2 linked regions of the Macaca mulatta genome follow. The protein of the gene in region 2 purifies or fractionates together with the protein of the main gene of each other region. This does not show direct contact. Links are inferred from orthologs where the notes say so. Each region holds a gene or a part of one and is shown on either strand. Other genes may lie near its edges.

What was found.
Region 1: the proteins of LPA (region 2) and CANX purify together in Homo sapiens (affinity purification with western blotting; 3 studies listed by BioGRID). This does not show direct contact. The link is inferred for Macaca mulatta from reciprocal best matches to the Homo sapiens genes LPA and CANX.

Annotation. Positions count from the first base shown.
Region 1 is NC_133411.1:188,693,306-188,699,772, forward strand, and holds part of CANX (calnexin), read left to right. Parts: intron 1-1,812; 5' UTR 1,813-1,815; coding exon 1,816-1,986; intron 1,987-2,396; coding exon 2,397-2,470; intron 2,471-3,272; coding exon 3,273-3,331; intron 3,332-4,681; coding exon 4,682-4,823; intron 4,824-5,267; coding exon 5,268-5,349; intron 5,350-6,146; coding exon 6,147-6,339; intron 6,340-6,467. UniProt on the Homo sapiens protein: Calcium-binding protein that interacts with newly synthesized monoglucosylated glycoproteins in the endoplasmic reticulum. It may act in assisting protein assembly and/or in the retention within the ER of unassembled protein subunits.
Region 2 is NC_133409.1:11,558,899-11,565,365, reverse strand, and holds the end of LPA (apolipoprotein(a)), read right to left. Parts: intron 2,356-6,467; coding exon 2,210-2,355; intron 1,574-2,209; coding exon 1,412-1,573; 3' UTR 1,161-1,411; downstream 1-1,160. UniProt on the Homo sapiens protein: Apo(a) is the main constituent of lipoprotein(a) (Lp(a)). It has serine proteinase activity and is able of autoproteolysis. Inhibits tissue-type plasminogen activator 1. Lp(a) may be a ligand for megalin/Gp 330.

The sequences.
Region 1 (6,467 bases), on a different chromosome or scaffold from region 2:
TAAGAGATAAAAGTAGCTTGTTGGCCAGGCACAGTGGCTCACTCCTGTAATCCTAGCACTTTGGGAGGCCGAAGCGGGCAGATCACGAGGTCAAGAGATTGAGACCATCCTGGCCAACATGGTGAAAACTCGTCTATACTAAAAATACAAAAATTAGCTGAGTGTGGTGGCACACACCTGTACACCTGTAATCCCAGCTACTTGGGAGGCTGAGGTAGGAGAATCACTTGAACCCAGGAGATGGAGGTTGCAGTGAGCCGAGATAGCGCCAATGTACTCTAGCCTGGTGATAGAGTAAGACTCCATCTCAAAAAAAAAAAAAAAAGTAGCTTGTTTTGTCTAGGTGCAGTGGCTCACGCCTGTAATCCTAGCCCTTTGGGAGGCTGAGGCAGGCAGATCACCTGAGGTCAGGAGTTTGAGACCAGCCTGGCCAACATGGCGAAACCCCGTCTCTACTAAAAGGACAAAAATTAGCCAGGCGTGGTGGCGGGTGCCTGTAATCCCAGCTACTCAGGAGGCTGAGGTGGGAGAATTGCTTGAACCTGGGAGGCGGAGGTTGCAGTGAGCTGAGATGGTGCCACTGCACTCCAGCCTGGGCGACGGAGGGAGAATCCATCACAAAATAAATAAATAAAGTAAATATATGAATTTTAAAAGTAGCTTGTTCTTAGTTTAATATTCTTGTTGAGTTCTAAAACACTAATTTGAAAACATGTCTATTGATGGTATTTGAGCAACAGTATCCATATTAAACCTTTAATGTGACAGGAATTATTTTCTGTGTTATTTATTTATTTTTTTTGAGACGGAGTCTTGTTCTGTCACCCAGGCTAGAGTGTAGTGGCGCGATCTTGGCTCACTGCAGGCTCTGCCTCCTGGGTTCAAGCAATTCTCCTGCCTTAACCTCCCAAGTAGCTGAGACTACAGGCACCCACCATCGCGCCCAGCTAATTTTTGTATTTTTAGTAGAGACAGAGTTTCGCCATGTTGGCCAGGCTGGTCTTGAACTCCTGACCTAGTGATCCACCTACCTTGGCCTCCCAAAGTGCTGGGATTACAGGTGTGGGCCACGGCGCCCAGCCATCTCTGTTATTTCATTGTAATGTTTTAACAGGTACCCATTGTAAATTAGTGTAGGAAAGGGCTTTTGTCTGTTGTAAAACACTTTACAAATGCAAAAGTTTGTTGGAAATTGTATTTGAATGCCTCACATCTGTGTAACCAATCCTCTCTATATGAGGATGGTTGTGTATGTTTCAGTTTTATTTTGAAATTTTCTAGAAATGGAATCTTCTAACTGATTTTAGGGAAACCCTTTATCCTCTCTAGGCTGTCTTTCCTTATCTATAGATAAGGAAATAATAAGTTCTTTTTAGCTCTGTGATTTGAAAGCTTTAATTTTATTTTATTATTTTTTTTTATTATTATTTTTTTTTTGAGACGGAGTCTCGCTCTGTAGCCCAGGCTGGAGTGCAGTGGCCGGATCTCAGCTCACTGCAAGCTCCGCCTCCCGGGTTCACGCCATTCTCCGGCCTCAGCCTCCCAAGTAGCTGGGACTACAGGCGCTGCCACCTCGCCCGGCTATTTTTTGTATTTCTTAGTAGAGACGGGGTTTCACCATGTTAGCCAGGATGGTCTCGATCTCCTGACCTCGTGATCCGCCCATCTCGGCCTCCCAAAGTGCTGGGATTACAGGCTTGAGCCACCGCGCCCGGCCGAAAGCTTTAATTTTAAATGAGAGAGAGGTAGTGGTCTTTATGAAGTTTGATAAGTGGCAATACATTTAACTGATTTTGCTCTTTTTATGTGTAGATCATGGAAGGGAAGTGGTTGCTGTGTATGTTACTGGTACTTGGAACTGTTATTGTTGAGGCTCATGATGGACATGATGATGATGTGATTGATATTGAAGATGACCTTGACGATGTCATTGAAGAGGTAGAAGACTCAAAACCAGATACCACTGCTCCTCCTTCATCTCCCAAGGTTTGAAATGGTCTTTGAATCTATTCCTTTTACCTCTTGAGATGATAAAATTTTGAAGATAGCCAGGTGCAGAGACATGTAGTCTCAACTACTCAGGAGGCCTAGGACAGGAGTGTGAGTCCAGCCAGAGCAACACAGGGAGATACCATATCTAATAAAATATAAAAGAAAAACATCGTGAAGATAAATTTGGAACATTTTCAAAGGCAAAGCAAAATTTGCTAAAATACTTACTGATCTCTCTGGCAGCCTTTGTTATATCTTGCTAGAGGCCAATTATATGGGTTGAATTTGAAGGCTAGCTATGAAATTTTTGTGACAGTTGAAAGCAGACCAGGATAAATGATTCTAGGTAAAAAGGCATGTTGCTGAAAATTTAAATTTTTAGTTCATTTATATATTTAACACAGGTCACCTACAAAGCTCCAGTTCCAACAGGGGAAGTATATTTTGCTGATTCTTTTGACAGAGGAACTCTGTCAGGGTAAGTGTTTTCCAGAGAAATATATCTTAGAGGCAAACATTATGTAAATAAGATGGGATAGTGGATTCCTTTTTGGATAGCATCTTATATAGTGAAATGTCTAACTTTATTTTATTTTATTTATTTTTTGAGACGGAATTTCGCTCTTTTGCCCGGGCTGGGGTGCAATGGCGTGATCTCAGCTCACCACAACCTCCACCTCCTGGGTTCAAGTGATTCTCCTGCCTCAGCCTCCGAGGTAGCTGGGAGTATAGGCATGTGCCACCATGCTAGCTAATTTTTGTGTGTTTTTTTTTTTTTTTAGTAGAGATGGGGTTTTAACATGTTGGCCAGGCTGGTCTTGAACTCCTGATCGCAGGTGATCCACCTGCCTCAGCCTCCCAAATTGTTGGGATTACAGGCGGGAGCCACCGCACCTGGCTTGAAATTTCTAACTTTAATATCTTCAGTGTTAACATCCATGTAGGAAAATAGTCCTTTGGAATTTGTGGTTTTTACTTCCACTCCTTTCCCTCCCCCACTCTACCCTATATTTTGTTCTTTGATTGAGGAAAAAAAAATCTTCTCTTGATCTTGAAACATCAGTGGAATTATCTCTTAGGTTTGGTACTTTTTCATATAGGTTTGTGAGTTGAAGGTAATATATTATCATTAGTTGTGTGACAGATTTAAAGGTTGGAAGTAGAGTGGTTAAATAGGCTAAGAGCAGAATAAGTCTTATTTTTATGAGTATTTACATAATTTTCCCTCGCAAGACAACTGTCATTTTTAAGACTGATTTTGGGATTTGTGTTACTTACAGGTGGATTTTATCCAAAGCCAAGAAAGATGATACCGATGATGAAATTGCCAAATATGATGGTGAGAATTCCATTTGGTTTAGATATAATAGCAGATAGAGGTTTGACATGTTGTCTCCATGGCATTTCCTAGACTAGTTTAAAAGGAAATTGTAAGCTTTAAGATTTTTCCGGCCGGGCGCAGTGGCTCACGTCTGTAATCCCAGCACTTTGGGAAGCCAAGGCAGGTGGATCACGAGATCAGGAGATCGAGACCATCCTGGCTGACACAGTGAAACCCCGTCTCTACTAAAAATACAAAAAATAAGCCGGGTGTGGTGGCGTGTGCCTGTAGTGCTAGCTGCTGGGGAGGCTGAGGCAGGAGAATGGTGTGAACCTGGGCGGCAGAGCTTGCAGTGAGCCAAGATCACACCACTGCACTCCAACCTGGGCGACAGAGACTCCATCTCAAAAAAAAAAAAAAAAGAGGCTGGGCATGGTGGTTCATGCCTGTAATCCCAGCACTTTGGGAGGCCGAGGCGGGCGGATCACGAGGTCAGGAAATCGAGACCATCCTGGCTAACACGGTGAAACCCCGTCTTTACTAAAAATGCAAAAATATTAGCCAGGCGTGTTGGCGGGCGCCTGTAGTCCCACCAACTTGGGAGGCTGAGGCAGGAGAATGGTGTGAACCCAGGAGGCAGAGCTTGCAGTGAGCAGAGATCGAGCCATTGCACTCCAGCCTGGACAACAGAGCGAGATTCCGTCTCAAAAAAAAAAAAAAAAAAAAGATTTTTCCATGAAAGTTTTGCCACCTTTGTGCGTTGCCTAATGTTTCTTTTCTTTTATTTAAGGTTCGGGGTGCATGTGTAGCCTTATATTTAATAGGATTAGATCTGTTTAATCACCCGTGCTGCTGAATGTTGGAAATAAGTTATTTCAAGACAGTATAATATACTACAGTTTTATAAAACCATATCCTAATAATATTTGCCAAATAAAGTATGTTTGTTTATTTATTTACTTTCTTGAGACGGAGTCTCACTCTTGCTGCCCAGGCTGCTGGAATAGAGTGGCGCGATCTTGGCTCACTGCAACCTCTGTTTCTTGGATTCAAGCGATTCTCCTGCCTCAGCCTACTGAGTAGCTGGGATTACAGGTGCCCATCACCAAGCCCGGCTAATTTTTGTGTTTTTATTAGCAATGGGGTTTCACCATGTTGGCCAGGCTGGTCTTGAAGTTCTGACCTCGAGTGATCCGCCTGCCCTCAGCCTCCCTAAGTGCTGGGATTACAGGTGTGAGCCACCATGGCTGCCCCAGTATAATATATTTATGCAACTAGGAGTTTTGTTTTGTTTTTTTTTTTTTTTGGTGTTTGTAGGACCTTCAGAGGTAGAGTTAAGGAATAGAACTTTTTTGTTTTGTCTTGTAGGAAAGTGGGAGGTAGATGAAATGAAGGAATCAAAGCTTCCAGGTGATAAAGGACTTGTATTGATGTCTCGGGCCAAGCATCATGCCATCTCCGCTAAACTGAACAAGCCCTTCCTATTTGACACCAAGCCTCTCATTGTTCAGTAAGTGAAATGCTTGTTGGATAAAAGCTTTCTACAAAGGGTAATCTTAGAAGACATTATACAACTTTTATTTTATGTTAAAAAATTATGAGATTATATAACTTGTGGTAGGGATTTTTGGGTGAATTTAAACACCTTGTAATGGTTTTTCTTGCCTCATAAATTACTTTGAAAAAACTGGTTACTCATTTTCCTGACTGTAAATAACTTGTAGATTTTGCAGAACAAACTTACTGGAAATCTGCATTAATGTTCAATTTAATTTTATTTATTTTTGTGGGATTTGATAGCTATTCAAAAACAATAGAAGATGGAATCCTTTGTAAGGGGAAACATTTGACCTGTGATAAAACATGACCAAGATGAGGGAGAGAGGAAATACATTAAGAGAGTTTTGATCTTTCAAAATGCCATACGGTTTTCTGCCTTTCTCTCTGATATTAGGTACGAGGTTAATTTCCAAAATGGAATAGAATGTGGTGGTGCTTATGTGAAACTGCTTTCTAAAACACCAGAGCTCAACCTGGTATGTAATTCCCATTTCTGGAATGTAGCTGGACACCCACTATTACCTTGTAAGAATTTTGTAATTTGCGCCAGGTGCAGTGGCTCACACCTGTAATCCCAGCACTTTGGGAAGCCAAGGCAGGCGGGTCACGAGGTCAGGAGATTGAGACCATCCTGGCTAACATAGTGAAACCCCGTCTCTACTAAAAATACAAAAAATTAGCCAGGCGTCGTGGCGGCACCTGTAGTCCCAGCCACTCGGGAGGCTGAGGCAGGAGAATGCCGTGAACCCAAGAGGTGGAGCTTGCAGTGAGCCTAGATTGCACCACTGCACTCTAGCCTGGGCAACAGAGTGAGACTCCATCTCAAAAAAAAAGAATTTTGTAATACTTGTGAAAATAAAGGCTTCCTCCTGCTGTTTAACTCTTTTGATAAGTTGGGAATATTGACTTTGACACTAATGTGCTTTTTATTCGAAGTGTAAATTACAAAGTTGTTACCAACTGTTTTTATCTGAATTTCTGGTTTTGCTTCTGTGTAAGTTTTAGTTTTAGCAAGCTTATTTCTTTGTTTTACGAGGAAGCAGTAACTGTCTAGATGCGTGCATTACTTTTCTTAGGCACTTAAATGTTATTTTAAATTTACTGATGATTGCTTGTTATTCCTTTTCACTAAACAAACTTGTAGTTAGCTTTTCCTGTAACTGTCATTAATGTATTTGGAATTTTATAAGAGGAATTACCATACACTTTTGAAATGTTGCTTTTGAACACTTTGACTACAGTGACTTCAAATACTCCTTTTTTGTTTCTGAAGGATCAGTTCCACGACAAGACCCCGTATACGATTATGTTTGGTCCAGATAAATGTGGAGAGGACTATAAACTGCACTTCATCTTCCGACACAAAAACCCCAAAACGGGTATTTATGAAGAAAAACATGCTAAGAGGCCAGATGCAGATCTGAAGACTTATTTTACTGATAAGAAAACACATCTTTACACACTAAGTAAGAAAAACCATTAGTTTGGGGGCTTATGGTATTACATATTTATCATCCATTTACTTTAAAGATTGTATATCTGGCTGGGCACTGTGGCTCACACCTGTAATCCCAGCACTTCGGCAGGCTGAGAC
Region 2 (6,467 bases):
AAAAGAAAGGTCAATTATATCCATGCTTAACAGGATCAGCAGGAGCTTTATAAATGACTTTACAGAGACGAATAAGGGATTTGATCTTTCTTTTTTGTTATCGAGGCTTTTGAAATGTGGAACTTGTGTGTTCTGCTTGTATGTTATATTCAATATCTTTTCAGATGCAATCTGTATTTTATGCTGAGTTTTTAAAATGAAATACTTTATGTGAACAGGCAAAATTGGTACCAAAGGGAAACATTAACCATGAGGAAGAACATTTCTGTAAGGAGAACAGGTGACAGTATACACATGTGCGCTAATTGTAAAATGAGCATCTTAATCCTTAAAACACATCAGAATTGAATACGAGTAACCTATTTGTTGATGAAATAAACACAGCTCTTTGAGGATTTGAGACTATATTCACCCGTTATTCACAGTCACTTGCAGTTCTGCTTTTCTCTGCATTTCTGTGCTGTAAGATGACTGTTGCATTGTCGAATTGTATTTTGAGTGGATATTTTTGTTTGGTGACAATTAAAATTTGAAATTGTAAAGAATGTACATTTTCCCTTTCTCTTCCTTCTAAACATGTGTCTCTGCCACAGGTCATCCTCCTGTGACCGTGTGTACTGCAGACTGTTTCAAAACCGGGCAGGCAATTAGCAATGGGAAACAAGTGGTCTACCCTCAATATTTGCTTGTTGTTCATTTATGTGCTCTTGGTACCAGTCCTAGACTCACATATGCCCCAGAATAACATTCAGACTCTCAGCTGGTCTTGTGTTACACGTCCATGGCCCGATTCACTCCATGGTATATACATCTCTCTGCTCTGTACTCCGGGGCTCAAGTCAAGCAGCCAGTGACAGATTTCATTCCCAATAACAGAACTAGTTCACATGACTCCCCATACATGTTGCAGCTTTGAAAACATTCACCTCAGTGTTAGAAATAAAGACAGTAAAAATGTGTGTCAAGCTCTCTTTAGCTGATGAGGTAAATGCATGGACAACTTCCTAGGGCTTCTCAGCTCTCCCCTCTGTGACCTTGCAGCCTGCTCAGGGCTTTGTGCAGCTGTTCCTTATCAAAAGCAGCTAAACCCCCTCAGTCTGCCCATTTAAAATTTGTGGGATGAACAAAGAGCGTGAAAATGTTGAAGACCAAAACCAAAATTTACTCAAATCAAAATAAGTACAGAGTTTATTTTTAACAAATGGCATAGCTATGTCACCTTATTGGAGAACCCAGCAGTCAGACAGGAAAAGCTTATATACAATAATACCAAAAATGCTGAGGTTTGGCATAGTTGGTAGCTGGGGACAGTGTCTTCGTTTGATTACTGTCCGTTATTTCCAGCGTGCTAAATCCCTACCCCCATTCTAGCCTCTAGGTGAGTCAATGCTTCACTCTGTCTCTTGTTCAATTAATTATTTGTCATCACTCCCTCAATCCAAGTGACAAAGCTTGAAACACGAACATAGACACCAGGCTTATTGGGGCATGCACAGCCAGGACCCCAAGAAGTTATTCCTCGTAAAATGTATTTGTCCTTGTCGAAGCAAACCACAGGCCCTCCACTGTCACCCTAAACAGAGGTAGGGAAAAATTCAGGTGAGGGTTAGCTTGCCAGCCTTTTATTATGGCATTCGTCTATTATCCACATGTATATTTTCCTGGTAATTGAAATCGGAAAGGAACTTATGAGCATATTACTCGAGCATCTGCACTGCTTGAGTACTTAGCAAAGTCTATTCAGTGAAACCACACCACTTAGTTTCTCCTGGGAGTAAAAAACCCCTTGTGAATCCTGCACACATCCCTTCCTATGTTGGTGTTTCCTTTAGACTGGCCTAGCCTGGGCATCACTGTAAAGTGTGTGCAGTTGGTCTGTGTCCTGTACCCTCTACCTCCTTCCCTACCAGAAAAGTCACCACTTTAGTCCCTGGCCACCAGCACACCCCAGGAGGGTGAGTGACCTGAGGTAGTTACGGCACTTAAAACTCCCTTGCTACAGATCTCAAACCCAAGCCCCAAGACATCTCCTTAGATTATCTGAATACGCATTCAGGGACAGATCTAGGGAGTTTGTGAGCAACACTTAAACTGGGGTCTAACATTGACAAATCCTTCTAGAATTTGTCACTTTGGGACTGAAGTCTAAGGGGCTGAGACCGAGATGGAAGAGCACAAGACTAACTTTGGTCTCTTGATCTTTTCTTACCTGGCATCTGTCAGTGCCTCCGGCCAAATGCCCAGCACAGAGCTCGGTGGATTTGACTCTTCCATTCAGAAACTCGTAGTGATTGCACACTGTATTCTCAATCACATGAAGCTGGGCTTCCTTGAGAAGGCCAGCCCCAAAGGTACCTGTGTTTAAAAAGATGAAAGAAATGGTTACTGCACCCAAAACAAGTTTAGGAGGAAACCAGAAGAACAGAGCAGCGGCGCTGGACCTCCTGCCTGTCCGTGAGGCTGCAGAACACAAGGCAGCTCCCAGTGCCGCTCTGACCCTGGAGAGTGTAAACATCATATGTGATTCTGTGTTCCTGAGACCTGGATTTAACTAGCTGGGCTTTGTCATAGTGCTTTCAGGTTGGTGGTTGTTTGTGTACTTTTTGCTTTTGTGTTGAAAGTCCAAAAATGATTTTTACAATGTAAAGAGTGTCTGAGAAATGCAATTGCTATTCTTTTTATATACTTTTTTCAGATTTTTTATAGGCTTCTTTACTACTGACATCATAATGCACAATTTTACGTACTGATTTTTTCAATCACTGTTATATCACGAGTTTTAAAAATAATGCTACAATCTTCATAACTAATATTTTAATGGGGAGTGACTGCTGAACGGGCATGAGGTTTCGTTTTGAGATGAGGAAAACGTTCTGAAAATATGGCAATGGCTGCACACCATTGTGAATGTACCGAATGCCACTCAGTGGTACCCGCCAAAATAGTTAAAATAGTAACTCTTACGTTGTGTATATTTTATCGCAATAAAAAAGAATAGCCATCATTTACTAAGAATTAACCTTTCCAGGCACGAGCTCTTAATGTGGTGTATGTCACTTCATCCTCACAACCGTCCTATGAAACAGGCACTTTCATCATTCCTGTTCTACAGTTGAGGAAACTGAGGCGTAAGGAGGTTGTGTAGTTCAGCCTGAGCCTGGGTCTGTGGAGTCACTGCCCTAATGCTTCCTCCCCAAGCACATTGGTCCCACTCTTGCTTCCAACCTTCCACATATTTGTTCATAAAGTTCATTCTCATTTCTTATTATTTTAAGTCTAAGCTCCCATAATTACATAGACATACTTCTGTCTCGCAGTAACTCTCCCAAATTATTTTCTAAAAGGGTGTGACGGTATAAAATGTTACTGGAAACAATTACTTCGCCTCACCCTTGTGAGTATTCAATTTTTAAAATATTAGCTAACATAGTAGAGAGAAATTGTCCTGATTCATTTTCTGATTTACACTTCCTTGACAATTAGGGAGAAGAAATACAACTAGGGGCAATTCTCCCAGTTGTAGTTTTTCTTTTGTGAAAAACTGCTTTATTTCCTTTGCCAAATTGCAGAACATCTGCTAAATTGCCAGAGGGAATGCTGTTTTTCCAGATGGACACGCCCAGGGATGTCTCAGTGCTCTCACAAATAATCTAGTTTTCCAATTTTGCAAGCCCAGCTTTCATTAGAATTTTGCAAAATCTTTTGCTTTGCGAGCGTGACACAGGCAAGAGCTGAGGCACTCTTTCCCCCCTCAGAGTCTTGGACTGCATTTAGATCATTGTCTCAGGTTCAGAAAACTGACACTGAATCTGGAGTTTACATGAGCAGCATGGAAGAGGCTCTTCCCAGCCCTAGCTGGGAAGGAGCTGCATGGAGGAAGCTCCTCCTGACTACCAAGCACCAGGCAGGGGGTGCATGACCTGGACTGTGTAGATGTGTGAGGGAGCACCCTTTTCAAAATATTTTGTTGAAAATTAAGTTAGATATCACTGCTTTTGGATCTGCTCTCAGAGCAAGGCAAACATCCTGATAAGGGGGTAAACCCACCACTAGTTGCCAGGAAATTGATGCAGTCTGTGAGTATGAGCTGCCATCCAGTGGCCAACATAGAGATGGCACCTCTGAGGGCAGGGTAGGCCACAGGTGACCTGAGGATTGAAGCCCTCCCTGACTGGGCCCTGGGGAGAGGGCCGCAGGACCAGCTCAGTCATTGCAGATGGGGCTGACATGGAAGAGCCCCTTGGCCTCAACCCCTACTCTGCATTTGGAATATCCAACTGAAGGGAGTTCTGGAAACATGAAGGGGAGAAGGGGAGAATTTCGACCTCCCTCTGAGAAGCTGAGAACACCCATTAATCTGATGTCATCAACATATAGAAAATGGATAAACAGACCTGAGTTATGTTGTGTGACTCCTCCTGGTCTAGTTAGCGTTCTGAGAATCATTTTCTCAGTGGACATGTGGGTGAGACCAGAGGAGACAGGGAGCCAGTGCAGGATGGTGGTTAGAAATGTGTGGATGGGGGTGGAGGGAGGAAACAGCGAGTGGGCTCTATGGTCAATGCCCAGCTACACGCCGGTTATGTGATGTTTATTTATGATGATGGTGGTGATGGTGATGGTGGTAGTAGTGATAATGGTGATGATGGTGATGGTGATGATGGTTTTAGTATTGATGATGATGGTGATGATAATGGTGATGGTGATGGTGATGATGGTGGAGGTAATAATGGTAATGGTGATGGTGATGATGGTGGTGGTAATGATAATGGTGATGGTGGTGGAATGGTGGTGATGGTGGTGGTAGTGGTAGTAATGATGATGGTGGTGATGATAGTGATGGTGGTGATGATGTTGAGAGTGATGATATTGGCGATGGTGGTGGTGATGGTGAAGATGGTGGTAGTGGTAGTGGTAGTGATGATGGTGGTAGTGGTAGTAATGATGATGATCGTGTTGATGATGGTGATGAGGATGATGGTTGTGTTGGAAGGTGAGGATGAAGATGCATAATCTTCATCCTCACAATCACCTTATATGTAAGTACAGATGAGAAAGCTGAGGCTAAAAGAGATTAAATAACTGCCCAATGTCACATGGAAGGTGGGACAGCCAGAACTTGCACTCAGATCCTTATGATTTTAGCTTCATGCTTTCATCAGCTGAAGTATTGTAGAGGATCTGTTTGCTTTCTGGCTGCCCAGCAGCCTTTCACCCTACACCCCATAATCTTGGTGAGGGATACCTTTTGCTCCCTTCTGGGTATGAATGGGGTCCTGCCTCTACTTCCAGCATGGAACAGCTGATGCAGGTCAGAGCCAATCAGTGACGGGCTCAGGGGCAGGACCATGACCCAATTTCAGTCTCTCAGAGTGGGCAGACTATTGTTCATGTAATGGGGAGAGTGGCCTTTCTTATTCTTTCTCAGCAGAGCTAGAGCCATGACAGCATCTGCAGCAATGGGGGTGTCACCTTTGTGCCCCAAATAGTGCCTACTCCATGATCAGGAATGCCTGGGATCTGGGGCCTCATGTGAGCCTGAAGCTTTTCAGCTCACTAAGAATTTCTCTTGTTTTGCTTAATCCAATTTGAGTTGGATTTTCTGTCACTTGCAAGGAGTCATGTTAGATTCAACTCTATTCTGTATTAGTAGTAGGAGCTGCCACGATGGAGTGCTTAGAATGTGCTCGGCACTTGATGCACTTTCTTATTATTTCCCCCATAACAGCCCTGCAGCCCACATCAGCTGAGGAAACAATCAGTGAGAGCTCATGACTTTTCTAAGTCCCCACAGCTTATAGGTGGGAGTCAGAGTTCCAGTTCAGGTTTGTCACCCTGCACCTTCTCTGAACCCCAGCTTCCTCAATGGTAAAATGGAAAAAATAATACCTAACATGCAGAGGTTTCTAGTATTTAAATTTTAAAATATGCAAACACCAGGAGCAGCCTGGCACACCCATAGGTGTCCCTCAAGCCAAGTTTCCTTTTATTTGGCCTCAGTGTTCCCAGACTGCAGTGCAGAAAAAGGGAACAAGAAGTCAAGGAGGTGAGGTTTTAAATGTAATAGGAAAGGGACAGAAAAAGGAAACCCAGCTTTGAAATTAGCTAGGCCAGTGGTTTTTAACCTTTTCAAAAAACCCAAAAAATTTTTTATTAAATGAAAGTGTATACAAAAGGCTGATGTGCAAAGCACCACTTGAAAATGCTGGTTTCACAGATAAGGGATTAGAGCCAAGTGATACAAAGAGGTAACGTGTCTAGTTCAGGTCTATCTGGCTAGCGGCAGAGTCAGAACGCTTTTCCAGGGCCCCAGACTCCCTATGTCCTCACCTGCACCTCTAAGAAAGTGGAACTGAGACATTAAGAGTATTAGTTTTCCTGCTGCCAAGGGAGTAAGGCTGATGGATATAATTATTGTCAGGGTATACTGCAAAGAGAAGGAATCCCTAAGGTGTAGTACAGGTGCT